Coturnix japonica: one gene and its partner. The protein of the gene in region 1 interacts with the protein of each later gene in a pairwise test. Links are inferred from orthologs where the notes say so. Each region holds a gene or a part of one and is shown on either strand. Other genes may lie near its edges.

Region 1 (3,659 bases):
GAGCATAAATGCATTTGATGTAAAGTGAGAAAAAGTTCAGTCAAAGCAATCAGATCTGGGTTTAGCTCAGTGACATTCTATTTCTAGAAGTGTGTTCCAAAGTCGAGGTAAAATGCATCCCCCAGATTTGATAGACCACTCCTATTGAACTAATTGTTCTACAGCAATGGTAAAGCGTAGTTCAAGGCTGTGGGTTGTCCCAGTAGCTAGATTTAGGTAAAGAGGTCAAAACAGCTGACAGCCTGCTTTCTGTATCAGTCTTAAAGGTGACATCCGCAGTTGATAGAGCAATAAACAATTAGTCCTGCATTTTTGAGACAGTGGCAGCTTGGTTTTGTCCTGGGTTACCAGCGTCCAAGCCAAATGGTAACAGGTTGTACTAACAGAGTAACAGGTGCATGACTAACAGAGAAAGGACCTTTAGGAAGTGAATGTGGGTATGACACCATATTAACATCTTACAGAGAGCAGCCAGATGAGTAACGCAGAAAAGTATTTTAACCATATGCAGTATGGCAACAAGCAACCTTAAAGATGATTTATCTTTAATGATAAAAAGGAAGCAGGATTTCAGGATATTAATTTAGACATATAATGTAGCATTCTGAACATTTAATCAGATTTTAGTATCACTCTTGAAGTTTAGTTTTTCAGAGACCCCTTTCTAGTAGCCCCATTATTCAGCTCTGGATTACATCAATGTGGTTTATCTATGGGAAGAATATAGCTGTAACAAGTTCTGCACTTTATTGATTAGCATTTTTCACCCATAAAGGGACATGAAATAGTGCTAATCCCCCTCTAGCAACATGGCTTTCCTCTCACAGCTATGGAAAATTTTTGAAACCAGCTCTTTCATGGTGTGTGAAATCAGTGAACCACAGTGTTACAAACACTCACTATTGTCATTTTTAGATATGTAAAGGCTTTAGGATCCTATCACTGATTGTTACTGTTTTGCTGCATATTGTCAAAAGGTCTGCTTTCACTCTTTTAGGTCAGTGTGCCTAAAGACAGACCATGGCCAGTAGCACATCGTGGAATTCACCATAAGATCATTTACACATTAAAAAACAGCATGTAGACAGATAGCTAAATATACCACAGAATTTGTTTGTAATGTAAGCATGCCAAATTGTTATTTTGCTGCTTTTCTGAAATATGTCATGGAAGCTAGTTTGTATTAATTGGCTTTATAAAGACTTATGCACACTAAAATTTGGCACTTGGGTTGAAATGTGGCAGTTAGTATCCTGACACTGACAGTTTGCCAGGAGAACAACCTTCTACCAATAAATTATGTTTTAGAGTGCCCTTAGGCTTTCAAATGTAAATGTAGTAGAAGGACTTGTGAAATTTTAGTGAAAAAGTGACATTTAAAATACAGATATTATTCTGTCATTAAAATATTTCATAAACAAGACAAACATTATATCTCTATATATAATATCTACATACGAGTTACTCTTTCCTGTGATCTTACCCAGCGTTTGATCTTGAAAGAGAAGATACAAGTCCCTCTATTTAATTTATATCTATGAGACAAGATGAGCTTTTTATTGGAACACCTCCCCACTGACCATACAGAGACTAGACAATTCACTTGCGCAGACTCTAAGTACTTTCCAATAACTCTAATAAGCACTTACCACAACAATAATAATTAGAAAGCTTATACCTGAAAGAAGTATGATTGGAAAGGCTGATCTTTGTTCTCCTCTTCCACATACAGTCCTCCAACAATGTAGACCTGATTTTGTTTGGTGACTATACTGGAATGGTTTCTGGGAATCTGTTCTGCCAGGGCTGCCAGGTAGCATTCATTTTCAAGAGGATCATAAGCTACTGCAGCAGTGTCATTAACCAGGAGAATTAGGTCTTTGACAAACATGCCGTGCCTGGGAAGGTCATTTAGGTAGCCCGGCAGTAAATCTTCATCTCCTACATCACCATTCACTTCCCCTTTGTTCGATTTTTCTTTATTTGTGCTGGAGTCAGGCAGTTTTCCAGCATAAGCATCCTTAATAATCTTTACTTTTTTCTGAAGATCTGAGTTGCTTTTAATTATATCGTCCTTCTCAACATGTTCTTTGAAATATTTTTCTGGCATAAGACGAAAACGTATGCAGTCAAAAACTTCTCCTAGGCTCTTTACTCTGTTCTCCTTGTCTGACCGGACCCATCTCATCACTGCTTCAAATACCAGTTCTTCCTTCTCTACATTTAAGCTGTCAGGTGAAATAACGGAGATAAGTTCGTTTGGTGCAAGCTGCAGGAAGTCTTCTTCTTTGCAGATCTGCACAAAATGATCTGAAACAAAATCACGGGCAGAAAACGCAAGTCTTGGGCAATCAAGCAGAACACCTAATCGAAGGATAGCCAGACAGTTACCGACAGCAAGCCTCTTCTGAAGATAGGAGACACACACGGTGAATACAGAAGGGATCTGGAAGCGGCTGGCCAAAGCAAAAATATCTTGCACGTTAGAATCATTAAGATCAATAGTTGCTGAATAAAGGTATTTGACAATCATATCCAGGATGTTGGGGTCAACGTTATCTAGAACTACCTCCTTCTTTTTCTCTTCATTTTGCTCAGATAAGAAATACTCACGAAAATAAGGGCTACATGCTGACAGAATCAATCTGTGGCAAGGCAGACTTCTGTCACCAGCTTTTAGGGAGCAATCTACGAATTTTTTCTCTTCCAGGAGTTCTTTGAGGCCATCCTGAAGAAGGGTGGATTGGTAAAGTCTGAGTTCTTCAGTCAGTTCCCTCTGGGAATCCATTTTGCAAATACTTGGGGAAGGGAGGGAGCAAAAAGCTTGTGCTCTTGTCTGCCCAAATGTCTGTCTGTAAAAAAGACAGACCAATGTGCTTTGCCCTGCCTGAAGCCTCTGCAACTTAATCTCACTAGCTAAATATAGGTACCTACTCTTACAGGTCGGAATTTAGGATGCATGGTTTGGAAAAAAATAAAGAGTTGTTCTCACAGCTGTCAAAGACTGAAAGAAGCAACTGTTGCTTTTACTCACTGTGGTCAGGTTTTGCCATCACTCTCCACATTTAATCAGTGAGATTACTTGCAATGTAAGAAATTATTTGACGTGAGTAAGGACGGCAGAATGTGACCCTCAGTAAGACAGCTATGAGCAAGATCATAAACATACACTTTATGAATATTCTCAAATAAAAGCGTTGCTAATCAATTTGTCAGCTGCAATTACTTTGTCAGAATGTTACTTGAATGTTACAGTGCCTTGCTACAGATTTTAAATGAGATACTTTATTATATAAATTATCTCTATCCTAAAATAACTTTTATTGCATAACTCACACAAGCATTTTTTAAGATATAGGTAATAAAACTGAATTTTGAGCTGCTTCTTAACACTGTTTTGGTTGTATTTATTTAGAAACAAACAGTTCTTAAAGTATAAAATATTCAGGTACTGTTTTTAACAGTAATTTAAAATTAAGTCTACCTCCCACCTCCAATCATTCTGCATTCCAGATCATCTATAAACATCACCAATCCCTTCACATCTGATTACTTTAGAAACCATATCAGCTGCTGCAAAACTAAACTGAAAACAGCACCTAAGAAGTAGAACAGACAAGAAAAAAAACAAAAACAAACCATAATACAACAGACATACA
Region 2 (3,659 bases), on another chromosome or scaffold:
TCATCTTCGAAGCACTTTGTAAACATTAGCTACAGTAATTTAATCCTCGCAACTCTCCTGTGTGGTAGATAAGTGTTATTATCCCATTTCAACTACATTATGAACTCTTCAGGGCCCAGGCCTTCTCTTTAAAGTTCCAAGCACCCTGTTGATGCTGTATAAATAATCATTATCATCATCATCACTATTTCACAGAGAGGATAAATGCAAGATCATAGAGAGAGTTATAGTCCCAGCTAAGATGAGAACGAGGGGTTGCTGGTGCTTATTCTTCTGTTCAGGCCACCATCTTAGGCTTTTCAACATAGTTATTGATCCAGGAAGACTGAATTTACTCTTTAAAATAGCTGGGTGGCATTTGCAAATCTGAAGGCTACAGAGTGCATGATGTTTCACCATAGGGATATTTTCTTCTTCCTTTTGCTTATTCCTCTTACATTCTCATTCCTAATTATGGGATTATAACTGAGAGTTAATAAAAGTGCATCATCTGAGGTTTACATATTACCAGTGCTTTGAAGATATTCAGAGAATGCATTGAATTGTGCTTAACTTATATACTACAACTACTGTGGCAACTCAAAAGCAATGAGAGATTCAGGGAAATACTTAGCACTGCAGACCCTGGCTGTTTTTGCAGTCAGCATAGATGTTTCAGTGACTTATCCTAAGCTACTTAGCTAGAGCAGCCAGTCTAAGCATGGCACTTTTTCACTTCTATCCTTTTTTTTATTTTTAGTACCAGTATAAACACAATTTTGTGATGGAAAGAGGAAAGCACATTGGGGCCAGAAGTGTTCTGGATGATACCAGGTTGCTGCATTGCTTGCATGCTGCCAAATTACAGAGTGAACAGGAGTATAAGAAAGGATCCCAGGGAGTGTGGTCTCAATACAATCTGCCCATGGACATGGTGAATCTTGTCCATGCAAGGAAAGCCCAGGCCTTAGCAAGTGATCAAGATTATAGAAAGAGACTCCACGAATTTACAGCACTCCTGGAAGACTTGAAGATGAAATGGGCCAAAAGAGCCCATATGCTACAGAGCGAGGTAAACTTTCCTTATGTAAAGAGAAAATAACTGAATTTAGTATTGATAGAGCTTTAAAGGAATAGCACAAATTGTTTGCTGACATTGGGCAGTGTTTTTAGAAATAGTATTTGCAAACTTACAATGTCTAGTAGCAAGATATCTGATTGCTCTATAGAATATACATGAATTAGAAGTTCTTATGTTATGAACATGACAGAAAATCAGTGTGGTCCACGTCACTTATCCTAGAGCTCTGGGATATAAAAATATAAAATAAAAATAATAATCAGTAATGTCTCAGCATTTTGGATAGCAGCCAGCCAGTGGTTTGACAGCCATTGCTCTACACATAGAATTCTTTGTGCAGAAGGATTTCTCTCTTTGCCTGTGGACACCAAAGGGAAATGACTGAGGTGATTTTGTCTGATCCCCTCGCTGTATAGTAAGAATAATGTACAGCACCTGTTTGAGCTAGCTGGTTGCCATCCCTTTTGCTTATAGGAGAGGTAAGAATCGTCAGGACTGGGACTACTTTCCTAGCTTTTACTTTACATTGGGTCTGTCTCATTTTCCTGGATAAGAAGGTAGAGGAAACCTTTAATGTGAATAAAGAAAGAGTCTTAAGTCTCCTCTTAGAAATGGGGTTAATGAGGAAGCCTGCACCAGATAAAATAATTAGTATTCCTGACTTGAACTCACCTCAGAAAATTATTTCAAAAGGGTTTCTTTTACGCCCAGTACAAACAGGTTATTACTGACTGCTTTGAGCCATACTAATTCACTTGTGGGGCCTTCTCTTGTAACTTGCATATGATACATTATTTAATTCCTGGTGGAATGAACAAATGCAAACAGTTTGGCTTTACGATCTGATATGTGCATGGCAAATGAAAAACCTCAAAATGTTAATACGAATCAGAGAGTCTTTTTAAAATACCTTAATAGCTGTGGATGCAAAACTGATAGCTAACGATTTTCATTTTCAACAGCATCGCTATAAATCAGACCTGAACTTCATGAAAGGAGTTGGTTGGATGGCTCTGAGATCTCCGCAGATAGAAAGTGTAAAGAAGGCTGGCGAGCTCATCAGTGAGGTAACTGATAAATCTTTCATGGGATAGCACGTCTGTAGGAATTGTTTACCATCAAGGCTCCTCGTTACATGACACTTACGAATGTAGCTTATCATTTCCTTTTGATGTGGGAGCCTGTTTATACAAGGTATAAGTTACCAAGAAGCAATACAGGAGATGCAAGTCCACTGTGTGACACCTGCTGAATATTTTCCATTCCGAATGAAACACAAGAGTATAAACAAAACACGTAGCAATAAATAAATGCAGTAAATTCTATTATAAAATTCTAAGCAGATCCTTATGGAAGTGATATAGAAAGATACAACACTGACAGTCACAATGAAGGTGTGTTAGCCTGCTTAGTATCAGGTATTAATAGAGGAAAAGTATAAGCTGCCAAAAATGCAGTGTTCATAGATTTCACATGTGAATTTTCAGTGCAGGGTCCTTGTGTGTGCACACACACACACACATAAAAATAAAAATAAAGAAAGGTTGGTGATTTGGAATTACAGCAATGAGACAGTGGCATCCTTGTTCACTGGCTGAAAGAGCAACTAAGACCAAAGCAGAACAGTATGTTTTTATCACTGTGGCTTCAGGAATGTGATTTTGGTGATTTACTCCAATTATCACACACCTAGAATCACGATATATCACCACTGTCTAACAGAAGCATCCTGTGTGTGTATTTATTTGTGTTTTTTTGTCCCCTCCAGACCAAGTACCGTCAGAAGCCAGAAAGTCTGAAGTTCACTGCCGTGGTCGACTCTCCAGATTTGATTCATGCTAAAAATAGCTACCTCCAGTGCAATGATGTAGGTTTCATTTGACTATAAATGATCTTAACTTTTGTTGTGCTAAAGGCATTAAAAAGAATCGACCTGACTTCCAGAATCAGTTGCATTCACTGTCTTTTGTCTCCTCAGAGGCTGTACAAGGCTGGAGACTCTGAAGCCAGGCACAGGTATACGCTGCCTCCTGATCATCCAGATTTTATCCGAGCTCGCCAGAATGCACTTCATATCAGTGAAGTAAGTTACAGAAGTTTTTACTTTAAGGAACTGACTTTATAACAATCATTAAAGAAAACACATTTGCTTGGAAATGAAAAGCTTTCATGAATGTGTAGAAGTCAGGTTCTTTGAACATGAACAGAAAATGTAGAGCTTGTGGACTGCCAGTACGCTGCTTGGCCTGGGAGGGAGAGATCAGGAAAGGTTGTTTATTTTTCTTGTAAGAATTTGTTCTGCTTCCTAGGACAAGAAGCTATTATTAAACATTTAAGTCCTAAATTTTAGGCATAACTTCTTATAAAACTTTCTACTTGTATTTGATGAGGCAGAGAGAGAATCCCTCTCTGTCCTTGACTGTATGATCTATCTCCATGAAGCTGCAGTGCTGTGTTGAGACGATCCCTTAGTCACAGTCCTCAACATGAGTGCAAATGCAAGTGAGTGGAATTGATTTAGAGAGATTTTGTTTCCACTTCATGCAGTGGCACACAGTCTATTTCTAATAGTTGTGATCAAATTTGTCATCTTTAGTTG

What was found. The genes of interacting proteins can lie anywhere in the genome.
Region 2: the proteins of KLHL41 (region 1) and NRAP interact in binary tests that used the Homo sapiens proteins (3 or more experiments, as listed by UniProt). The link is inferred for Coturnix japonica from reciprocal best matches to the Homo sapiens genes KLHL41 and NRAP.

The regions. Positions count from the first base shown.
Region 1 is NC_029522.1:16,684,735-16,688,393, forward strand, and holds part of KLHL41 (kelch-like protein 41), read right to left. Parts: intron 2,853-3,659; coding exon 1,679-2,852; intron 1-1,678. UniProt on the Homo sapiens protein: Involved in skeletal muscle development and differentiation. Regulates proliferation and differentiation of myoblasts and plays a role in myofibril assembly by promoting lateral fusion of adjacent thin fibrils into mature, wide myofibrils.
Region 2 is NC_029521.1:24,360,666-24,364,324, reverse strand, and holds part of NRAP (nebulin-related-anchoring protein), read left to right. Parts: intron 1-739; coding exon 740-1,051; intron 1,052-2,022; coding exon 2,023-2,127; intron 2,128-2,828; coding exon 2,829-2,927; intron 2,928-3,038; coding exon 3,039-3,143; intron 3,144-3,659. UniProt on the Homo sapiens protein: May be involved in anchoring the terminal actin filaments in the myofibril to the membrane and in transmitting tension from the myofibrils to the extracellular matrix.